3 linked regions of the Cricetulus griseus genome follow. The protein of the gene in region 2 interacts with the protein of the main gene of each other region in a biochemical or structural test. Links are inferred from orthologs where the notes say so. Each region holds a gene or a part of one and is shown on either strand. Other genes may lie near its edges.

The links.
Region 1: the proteins of Clint1 (region 2) and Cltc form a complex in vitro, tested with the Homo sapiens proteins (2 studies listed by BioGRID). The link is inferred for Cricetulus griseus from reciprocal best matches to the Homo sapiens genes CLINT1 and CLTC.
Region 3: the proteins of Clint1 (region 2) and Ap2b1 form a complex in vitro, tested with the Homo sapiens proteins (2 studies listed by BioGRID and IntAct, with this or other methods). The link is inferred for Cricetulus griseus from reciprocal best matches to the Homo sapiens genes CLINT1 and AP2B1.

The regions. Positions count from the first base shown.
Region 1 is NC_048600.1:99,995,148-99,999,436, reverse strand, and holds the start of Cltc (clathrin heavy chain 1), read left to right. Parts: upstream 1-1,404; 5' UTR 1,405-1,578; coding exon 1,579-1,620; intron 1,621-4,289. UniProt on the Homo sapiens protein: Clathrin is the major protein of the polyhedral coat of coated pits and vesicles. Two different adapter protein complexes link the clathrin lattice either to the plasma membrane or to the trans-Golgi network.
Region 2 is NC_048600.1:60,456,477-60,460,125, reverse strand, and holds part of Clint1 (clathrin interactor 1), read right to left. Parts: intron 1,317-3,649; coding exon 1,030-1,316; intron 1-1,029. UniProt on the Homo sapiens protein: Binds to membranes enriched in phosphatidylinositol 4,5-bisphosphate (PtdIns(4,5)P2). May have a role in transport via clathrin-coated vesicles from the trans-Golgi network to endosomes. Stimulates clathrin assembly.
Region 3 is NC_048600.1:96,585,649-96,589,297, reverse strand, and holds part of Ap2b1 (AP-2 complex subunit beta), read right to left. Parts: intron 2,975-3,649; coding exon 2,782-2,974; intron 1-2,781. UniProt on the Homo sapiens protein: Component of the adaptor protein complex 2 (AP-2). Adaptor protein complexes function in protein transport via transport vesicles in different membrane traffic pathways.

The sequences.
Region 1 (4,289 bases), about 40 Mb from region 2:
AGTCTAGGTTTGAAAGACAGTATTTGGGGTGGAAACACTAAAAGCAACTAAAATGACTAAGCAGATTTCTAAGCAAAACTGCTTACACAAAATAATTGTATACCTAGTGAGGTCTTATAGTGTTTAGGTGAAAGGGGCAATGAAAATAATTTTCTCAAGAACTTTCAAGGGAATAAAAAAAAAAAGATGAAAGGCACGGGATTGAATTCTATAATTCTTCCTTATATCGGTGTTATTGTGAAACATTACATCTTACGCTTTATCAAGGGCTCTGGGGCGGCTGCTAATCGCTAATGAACGCTGCAGATACCTTAACGCTGTGGGCAGCCACGGTGCTCCGGGTTTGAAGTGCTTGTATTGCCCACACTGCTACGACAGGCAATGGTCCTACTAACACGTATGACTAGCAGTCAATCCCTCCGCTCCGAGAAAGCCTTTGAGGATCCTTCCTCCAAGCCATCCCCTGATCTAAATAAGACTCATGATCTGACGTTGCTGGACCCTCCAAGTCTCGAAGGCCAAGCTGATGTCTACACTAGGTGGGTCTAAATCCACCAAAATGTCCGCGGGAGCGCTCTCCGGGGCCGGCCTCAAGACACTCCTCACATGGCCTTCCTTCACTGTCCTTTGAGGTGGTTTATCTGAGGAACTCGGAAGCCGGCCGGTTCTCCCGGCGTCAGCAGGGCGTGCGTCAGGGAATGGAGCTTGCAGCCCGGCGCGATCCCCCTCCCAGAGGTGTCAGCAACCACCCACTGCGTGAAACCGGGCGGGGGAGGCGCGCCGCAGCCAGCCGCCCGAAGAGCGCTGCGGCGCGGCCCTTTTCCTGAGTCACCCCGGCGCCCACGCCGCGGCCTCCTCCTCAGGCACTCGCTCTCCTCACGCCCCGGCCGCCTCGCCGGCAGGGGGTCCATCCGCCACCTCACCCCCAGAGGCCGCGGCCATCCCCTAACCCTCGCCCTCCGCTCTGGCAGCCGTCAACCGACCCTTCCCTGCCCGCATCACGTGCGCCTGGAAGTGCGTGGGTGGGTCCTACAGCGCCTACGGAAATGACGTCGGTCGCCCCGAGTCGCATGATGTGGCAAAATGTTAAAAAAAAAAAAAAAAAGAGTGGGGGGAGGGGAGGAGGTAGAAACCGGAGCCTGGGGAAAGTGATGAGTCTTAAAAAAGTAGTCCCTCGGCCCCTCTGTTTCCTCGCAGTCGCCGCCGCGAAGAGCGCTCCGCGCACTGCGTCCCTGAATTCCTACGCCCGACCGCGGCGCGGCGCTCGTGGAAGGCTACATAAGGCGGAGGGGGTGAGGAGGCTGGGCGGAGTTCTGCCCCGGGATCCTTCCGCAGGGCTCAGCCGTTTCCGGAGTCTGCGCTGCTCCCGGTTCCGCCATTGCGGCTCTCCCGGCCCCTGGAGCCTCCGCCCCCGACCCAAGCTCTTTCGTCTGCCTGCCAGTTTCCTGCGTCCCCGGAGAGTATCCTGCTGAGCCCAGCCTCCCCCCCTTCCCCTTCTCCTCCTCTCCCTTGGAGAGCCCGGGCAGGCACTGCCCCGTAGCCCAGTGACAGGAGGAGACCATACCCCCCGACAGCGCCATGGCCCAGATTCTGCCAATTCGTTTTCAGGAGCATCTCCAGGTGTGTGTGGGTCGGGGCTGCCGAGGGCCTTTTCGTGGGTAGAGGCAAAGAAGGAGCCGGCGGCCCGGCCCGAAAGGGATCGAGGGGAGGCGGGGGGGGGGGTTGGTATTTGGCGTTAGATAGAGGAAGGGACACTGTCTTAAAAGCTTAAAGGGTTAAGTGATATTAGACTAGGATGGAAATGACGAATCGGAGTGCAAAGGGCGGCGAGGCCAGGCCTTACGTCTGACGGCCTCTTATTCTGCTTCCTGAATTGCAAGAATTGCACATACTAGACTCGACTCCCTTCCCATTTCACTCAGTTCATTCATTTGGGTAGGGGGTATGTGGGAGAGATTCTCGCACGTTTCTTCCGGAGCGAGAATTCTCGTTAACCCTGGGCTGGTGCAGGGCTGTCACCTTCCCTTGGTTTATTCCCGTTTCCACACCTAGTCTGCACCCAGAAATTGTGTGTCGGGTGGGTTGGGGAGGAGCAACCTTTTTCATCCTCCCTCTGCAGTTCACAACTGAGAAAGGCACCTTGGGGTAGGGGTAGGCAGTGGCTTGTGTCTTGTCTTCCCTGAATCTATAAGGAACCGAACGAAGGTCACTCACTGCAGGAACAGAAAGAAGATAGAATAGAGGGGCGGCTAGGGGCGGTGTCAGCCTCTGGGTGCCTGGGGTCAAGGTCCCAAGGGGAACGCGCATATTTTTCCTTTCTTGGTTTCTTCGTAGGGTGGTGTAGCTCTTAGCGTCACTTGGATTCTAGAAGGCAGGGAGAGTTATTTAGAGGTTATTTGTGGCCTTTTGGAATCTAGCAGGTAGTACAGTCTCACAGGACTGTGTGGAATTCAGCAGAGCCTGGTAGTAAATGCATACCTGCTCTGAGTCAGTACCAGACCAGTTGATCTGTAACTGGCTTCTTTTTAGTAGGTTGGGCGACCCCCCCACCCCCAACTGTGCCTTATCCTGGAGTTAATACACCATTGTCTAACCTGGCAGCATGCCAACGGTTGGCCTAGGCAGGTGACCATTGGAGGGCTTCGCTGAATTAAGCTTCTTCCGAACTGCTGATTTTCCTGATTCACTTGTCCTGACTCTTTAACATTATTCATTCATATCAAGTTATCACCCCCAACCCCCCCCGCAAATATCCCTGTGAAGAAGCTTGCTTTCAGGTCTGACTTCTAAAGGGCTAATTTCTGAAGGAAGACGCAATGGTCCAATGCAAATAATTCATCTGTTTTGGCAATAAGACCACAATTTTGCAAAAGTCTGAAAAATGGCAATGCTGATCAAGAAGTGAATTTTTGTCCTCAGTTCAAACTTGTTTTGGGTCCCTCTGTTAAAAAACGAATATGAAGAGTTAGTGACTTCACATTGTTCCTGAATCCTAGTGGACAATGGGCTTGTCTGCAGTAAAGTGCACCAAAAATAACCTTTCTGCAAGCATGTTTATAAACCATACACAAGAGAAGCAAAGGCAGTTGCTAATCGTTTCACATGACCTGTGGTTTGTCCCTTGGTAAATCTTATTTGTTGGTCATTGGTGATTTGAGTAATAGGTTTTCATTTTTAATAAATAACAAGAATTGTTGAATGGTCCTACAGATTGGAATCCAAACTTGTCCCTAATTAAAATAAATTTAATGCAGGTGTGGCATGTGAGGAACAATTTCTGCAAATAATTGAAACTGTTTCCTTCTCAAATGTGAAGCTTTTGAATATTTACAAAATAGCTTTACAAGTATTCTTGAAGGTCTCTGACATTTATTTTTTGTAGGATCATATTCCACTTTAAGCTTATGCTTGGCTGGTAGGATTCCACTCCAGTAGATAGTGACCAATTGCACCAAAAGTCCCAAACACCATTCTCTTCCAGGATAATGTATCTCCTGACCTCAGGTTTTTAGCCCCTCTTTTAACGCATTATTGCAAGGGTTATTTCAGTTGTCATCTTAAGTCTTTGATTTCCAAGCCTCTGCCATTCTGCTTAGTAGAAAACAGTTTTCTAAAACACATAGAAGAACTGTAAATGAGGAACTAGAGAGTGTAGTGTTAACTTGTGAAACTTAACAGCAAACTCTTAAGTTTATGTTAAACTTTTCTTTAAATTTTATTTTTATTTTATGAACATTAGTGTTTTGCCTGTCCGTGTGAGGGTGTCAGGTCCCCTGGAACTGGAGTTTCAGGCAGTTGTAAGCTGCCATGTGGGTGCTTGGAATTGAATCTGGATCCTTTGGAAGAGCAATCATTGCTCTTAACCACTGAGCCATTTCTCCAGCCCCTATTTTAAGACTCCTGCAAATAAAATATTGCTATTTATTTCCATGATGTTCTGTCATTGAGGCTTGGAACAACAATCATATCACATAAATATTAATATTTTATGTGATGAAGGAATTTTTGTTAGAATTGCAGATCCTAAAGAAATTGTAGGTTGCAGAACTCAGAAAGTTCTATGCCATCCAACAAAACCCTATCTCAAAAAACAAAACCCCACTGCCTGAAATTCTCAATTCTTGGCATATTAAGCATCTTTACAATTCTTCTCTCATCCTGTTGAACACTTGAGCACTTTTAGTTTTCCATTACAAATCTCCCCACCCTGATCTTCTCCCTTTGATCCATAAATGCAATTATGCAATATGTTGCTGAGCTGAATAGTAGGATTCTTGCTAAGGTTTTGG
Region 2 (3,649 bases):
TGGCAAAGAACCAGGTCAGCACAACTAAAGGTGGACAGGAAGAAATGTCCTTACATAACAGAAAGCAGACCTGTCTGCTCATGTTATACAACCCATGACATCAAGCAGCAAGTCTACTTCACAGGGCCTGGCTGGAGTTTCCCAGCTTTGTGCACCTCTACTGCCTCGTGTGAGTACTACCAGTGGCACTCATATACATATGGACTGACAAAGGAGAAATTCAGGAGAAAGAAGCAGAGGTGCGTGGTGGCTACTAAAGATAAATTTTAAAAGGACAAAAACAAGGAGAGGAAATGGGAGAGAAAAACCACCAGGCAAAGGGTCAGAGAAAGACAACAGAGGCTGAAAGAAAGCTGCTGGCCCTTTCACACAGTCACCTTTCTGCTTCTTTCTTCCCCTCCTTCATCCCAGTACCGCAAAGATGAGGATATATACATTAAAATGAGTGATTAGCATCAGAAACATCAGTAACCTAGTCAAAACTAGCAAGTTCCGGGTACAACTCAGACACTTTCACACCTCTGTCTGTTCAAATTCTATTGTTATACAATTTGTATTTAACTCTTAACATGTGGTTGTAAAACTCTCACTAATTTTCCTTTATGAAAATGAAGGTTGACAACAGGCCCAGAACGGGGCTAAGATTCATCACTGAGGCAATGATTTACATGAGTAATCATGTACAGAGATGCTTTGTTCAAGACAGAATTAAGACTTAGTGACTATTTTCCATGGGACAAACAATGCATCTCTTCCCCCCAAATGCTTTTGTGACCCAACAGATTTCAGCATGTATCTTTATGCCAGGCATCATGCCTGTTCTTTTAAGGACTCTAAGTAGATAACAAGGCCTTGTCCTCTAGAACACACGATTCTACCAAATGTATGCAGTCACGTGCCATCTAATGGTGTTTAGGTTCACAGTGAACTATGGAAGGAGGGTTCCTTGTCTTACACTAGCTAACCCATCATCCTATCAGACATCTTAGCAGGTGTAATAACAATTCTCAGGGAAAGCAGACAACTTACCTGTGACCTTGACATGGGCAAACCGAGCCCCACAGTGTTAGTGCTCATCAGAGAGAAATTCATACTCTGGGAAGACGTCATGGTTGCCTGGGATGAGCCCATAAGATCAAATAGGTCGGAAGAGTTTGAGGCAGCAGGAGGTGGGCCTAAAGTTGGCTGTGAGCCACCGATGAGTTCTACTGCAGGCTGTGGGGCACTGCCAAAGAGCTCACTACTGGAAGCAACAGGACCTGATGGGGCTTGGTTGAAGGCACTCCAGTCACCAAAGTCTCCATTCCCACTTGTTGCTGTTACCAAGACAGAGCAGGCAGGGTAAGAAGCACTCTGAAGTACACAGAGCAAATGCAAACTCTACGAACTGCAACTAACTGAAGTTGATAGGAGCCCATGCAGGTTAGTGTCTGCCGGCCCCATCTCCATCTGGACATTATCTTTCCTCATGAATATTACAAGAGTGTTAACAAGGTGGCAAAGAAAACAGAGTTAGAACTCTAAAAGTAAAATCCATCTCTTGGAAGCTCTGCTCATAATACACAAAAAGTGGCATGAAATGACTCCAACCAAGTTGGTATTAGTTAAACACGTGGGACTCAAAAAGGGAGGAAATTCTATACAGGTTAACTTCCTGCTGGGGGTGAGGGCAACTCCAAAGTCAGAGAGCCCAATCTTTGCTCATTATTTAGAAGGTTCAAAGAGAAATCCAGCTGCAATCAATACCCACATAATTGTCGAAACCCCAAGTTCATGATAAATTTATTAAGAACAAAACAAAAATTATGAAGGATAAAAAGCTAATAAAACAAAGTGTGGGCATTTAATAAATTCCTATTAGCAGTTCTCACTATGCTTTTGTTTCCACAGAATACACAAACGCTACCTCCTAGACTGATCTCCAGCATGCTGACTGCTCAGTCTAGGTCAATAAATAGCAAGGGGAACTCATGTTAGTTTGAATTTAATGTAATCTGAAGTGGGCATGTATTGAAGGATTGGTCTGCAGTTTATGGCACCAAGAGGCAACTGGATGATGACTGGGCTAAGTTTATCGATGAGTGATGAGTTCATGTAGGCTATCAGGAGGTGGTGACCTGGCTGGAGGAAGGGTAGCCTTTGGAGGGTATGTTTTGTCATGGCCCTTTCCTGGCAGCTCCTCTGCTTTCACGCAAAGGACACTAGCCTTTCCACCATAGGTCCACAGCAAGAACCGGGTGACCCCGAGCCTCTGAAGCTGTGAGCCAAGTAAGTTTCTTCTAAGGCAGTCTTCTCATTTGTCCTCTCAGTGACAGAAAGCTAACAGTTCAAGTTAGCATTAGAAAAGGATCCAGTTAAGAGCTTACACATCAGAGACAGACTATTAAAGAGCAACTTTAAACCTGAGCTACTCAGCTGGCTCCTCTAGATCCGAATTTTCAATCTGTTCTGTAAAGATGGAGCAATGGCATATGCAACATCATCTGAGGTCTGATATTGTTACTTTGTTACTTTGGATTAACTTGGACAATTCAAATGAGTGGACCACACAGACTTGTTGCATCTCGGTTCTGGAAAAGCTGCATACATAACTGATTATACAAACAAGTAACATTTAAACATTACTTCGATTAGGGTACATATGACTCCAAGTAAATACAGCCATCCTTTAGGAAGGGACAAGACTGTGGCAGTTGATAAAGTTTCTGTGAAGAAATGGCCACTTACAGACCATCATCTGGAGTTTTAAGCACATGTCTAGCCTAAAAGGTAACCACCACAGCGGCACTGTCTCAGGATGCTAAGTGTCAGAAGAGCTCAGTCACAAGGTGTCTTGAAGATTGCACTCCTCTATTACTGTAGTAATATGCAGCACCCTCAGGAGAGAAACCCCAGGCTCTGCTGAGTTTCAGGTAAGAGCAGGGCTACTACTCTCTATTCAGGGTTTTACCATAACCTGCTGTTAATCTTGTACTAACCATTTTTACAGTTAGTCCTTGATTATTAGATGTTTTAAAACCATTTAAGTAAGGCTGCTCATTGAATGTAAACTTTACCCTGGTTTCCATCTGCAGGATCCATTAAGCAGAATATGAGGGGAAGTGGGCAAAGCATGCTGCCCCATCTGAAAACTCAGCACTGAGATGATTAATCATTCAAGGACAAGATTTCAAATGGTGCAGACACTATTCAAAAATGATTAATCACTGTTGTGGGTTCAGGCCCTGTGCGGTGGTGATCAGGCTGTATTAATCACACATGTATGGATAGAGATATATGAGAAGACTGAACTAACATATTCAAGTTATTTGCATACCCAGACAACTTCATATACACAAAAAATGTCAAGGATTACCCAGGGAGCCTGTACACCTAGGCCATGTTTCCCTTCCACTCTGATATGGGCACAGTAAGGTACCAGCCTTGGAAAGGTACTGCCACACTTCCAGAAGGAAGCAGTTAATTGCATAACAGCACTACTTTGGGGGGGATACACTTGGAATTTATAGAAGGAGGCTGTCAAAATAACCTACACGCAATGTTATGCATTTTTTCCTAACTACTCCATGAACTTACACTAGCTATTACTCAATATAAAATTTAATCCAGGTTATAACAGCAATGGAATCTATTTGAACTGAAGAGTAGC
Region 3 (3,649 bases), about 36 Mb from region 2:
TATTTTATTTAACTGTTCTTATTGCTATATATAAATAGTACTTGTATTTTAAAGTAGAAATATGGTGGAGTTAATTATGCAACTAGAATGAGAATCATAACAAGGCAAGGAGCCTACAGGCAAAACTCATTAGCAGCATAACACTGACCTCCATGGAGTAAGGTTGAGTTAATACCCAACACTAATGTTGGGTCTTGTGGCACATGCCTACAATCCCAGCACTAGGGATACTGAGGCAGGAGGATTGTCAATTTGAGGCTAGCTTAGGCTACATATGAAGAACCTGTCAACAATAACAACAACAACAACAAAAAAACAATTAACAACAATAAAAAAATCCTGCCTCAAAAACAAGGTGGAAGGCCAGGACCAACACCCAAGGCTGTCATCTAACACAACACACACACACACACACACACACACACACACACAAAGAAACAAACACAACCAACCAAAACAAAACCCCAAATACAGACTACTAAGTTTTACCAGAGCCTAACTAAATCAGGATCTCTCTGGTACAAGATTTGTATATACATTATATAGTTTTATGAAATGCTACTATAAGGCAAGGTTTCATTTAAGAAATGGCACTATTTATACAGATTATAAGAAAACTGGAATTATTTTCCTCTTTAGGTAACTGGAACAGGAATTTTAAAGTCTCACAGTTCACTGATGCCTTAGAAGCTCATCTTCCACACTGCCAAATGTGGGCTTCTCTTCTAATGCTCTTGTAAAAGAATACATTAAATTACATACAGATCCAAAGTAAAAGTAAGGGCCCAAAGTAAAAATATGATGCCCTCTTGTGTCTCTAAGACACCAAGCATGCATGTGGTACACAGACATAAAATACAAAGCACCCATATACATTTAATTAATTAACTAAGAAAACAGAAGTGCCATGTACATTTTGTTTTTGTTTTTTTTTTTTTTGTTTTTTTTTTTTTTTAAAGACAAGGGTCTTACACTATAGCCCTAGCTGGTCTGAAATTTCCTATGAAGACAGGCTGGCCTCAAACTCACCTGCTTCTATCTCCTGAGTGCTGGGCTTAAAGGCCACTATGCCTAGCCTCAAGTGAGTTCTTAGAACCTTTACACTCACTAATTAGGCTATGATGGCTGGCCAGCATTCCCCAGGGATCCATCTGTCTCTGCCTCTGAGTACTGGGCTTAAAATGTGTGCCACTATTACCTGTTTTTTGTTGTTGTTGTTTGTTTTTGTATATGTGGGTGCTGGCAACCAAACTCAGGTTCTTACCCTTCAAGACTTAACCATCTCCTTAGCTCCTTCCACAGCCTCTTTATCTGAATCAGTACTTAGTCTGAGTTTTATCTTTGTGTATTATGGATACATCCACCTATTAGAATTATGAACCTGCAAACATCAAAATCAGGGCCTCTTTTCCACCTCAATCTCTAAACCCATTGTCAATGAATAGGTTCAATGAATCCATCACGTAGTAACCCTCCAGGGAAAGCAGTAGGAAGTTAAAGCATAAACCTGAGGATGTATTATTCAACCTATAAGTGATACATCAGTACAACAAGAGTTATTTTTATTTCCTGGGCAGCTCCATGATACTTAAATTATTTGTCTACTTTGATTCTAAAAGACCATACAGCAATGTAGAATGATGACTCAATACTGTTCTACAATCAGTCAAGCCCAAATGTTATAGTCAAATACCACAGTCTTCGTGAAGCTTAAGAGACAACGGCATTATATACAGAAGAGAACAAGTGGTTCTGTTTCTATCATCTCTGAAAATTTCTGACCTACAGTGTGTGCCCTCCAACGTTGCTGGGAAATGCATCAACTTGTCAGGCATCTTGATAGTCATCAGAGTATCAGACACCTATTCTGTAAGTCCACCAAGGTTAAGTACCTGATTTGCAGGGAGCCTTGTGACCTATCATTTCCCTGGCCTTTTCCCCAGACACTGACTGTTGCCATTTGATATTTCTCCATCTTGGACAACATGGGCTTGGTAGCCCATGTCCACAGACAGTCTGGACTTTGGAACCTTTTATTATTAGAATCCTGGAAGCTAATTAAATTGGAAGTATGACAAAGGCAGAAGTGAAGAGGAAGGGGAAAAGTCAAGCAGTTCTTTTCAATTGTAATAAAGGTGCATTTTAGACAAAAATGCTCAAATGACTGCCTTAAAACATTTCAGAGCTGGAAAAGGCACAAACCAATAACTATTTAAAAGACAGAAGATATTTTTTTTAATTTATTTTATTTATTTATTTTTGGAAGTGTGTGCATATTGAAGCAGGACCTCATGTAACTCAGGCTTGCCTCCAATTCACTTTGTAGCCAAGGTTAACCTTGAACTTCTGATCCTCCTGCCTTTCCTCCCAAGTGATGGGATTATAGGTATAGACCACCACACCCAACAAGGCAGAGGTTTAAAGGCCTGAAAGATGGTGACCATTATTAAGCCACTTTAATGATACTCATGACCAAAGGACAACTTACAAGAAGTTAAGAAGTAGGAAAAATAATGAACTCTGGTAAGGACATCATTAATTATGATAGCCAAATAACATGTTGACTAAATACCAGAAGTTCTATTTATAAGCAGATCAACATAATAAATCTGTATACATGTAGACATATTCCATCCCAATAATGAACAGAATGGTAATGAAGTCTCTAAAGATAGATAATTCTGTCCTTTACAAAGGACATTTCTGTTCACCAAGGAAAGCCAAATAAAGTTCTCTAGTCCAGCAAGAACTAAAAACACCAAAAGAGAAGCAGAGGCTTACCAGGCTATCCAGTCCTCCTCCTAAAAGATCCACGGCTCCCATCTGCATGGAGGACACTTGTGGCACGTTCACTGGGGGACCCAGGTCAAGATTTAAAAGATCCCCCAAGAGGTCACCTTGAGAGGGGATGACCTGAGGCTGTTCCAGGTTGGTTGCAGTGGTGGTGCCAACAGGGCTATCACCTGCATCAGTGCTGTAATCAAACACAGAGGAGAAATAAGAAAAACCATCTTCACCCCTATACAATAAAGCAGCAAGCAAATGTCACATGTACAACCACAAAACACTAAGAATGCAATTAAGGAATTAAACATGGCTGAGATGTCTCAGGAGGTAAATGTTCCTGCCATCAAGTTTAATCCCCAAAATCCACACAGTGGAAGGAGAGAATTGACTCCCATAGGTTGTCCTCTGTGAGACATGTACACGTACACACAACAAATAAATACATGTTAAAAAAAAAACAAAACTTAAGTAGCTTTTGACAAGATCTGAACATGGAGGGGTAAGGAGAATGACAATAAACAAACATTAAGGAAAAGATAAGTGATGCTGCCAATAGGGGAATCTGGAAGGATGATAAAAAAAAAAAATAAGACACTCAGGTTTTGTTCGCTAAGAACACATTCTACCACCGAGCTACAACCACAGCTTCAAGATGCTTAATTCTGTTATGTGTTAAGAAAAATAACTATAGATGTCCAGCAGTCAACTAAAGACAAGTGATTGGCAGCCAGAACTAGAGAATAAACTTGGAAAGAAATTTATATACACATCTCAGGTAACTTATCAGGGGAAGGTGGTTGGTAAGAGCAGGGGATCTAGACCCAGACATCTAAGATCAAGCATAGGCTTTACATAGTGCAAC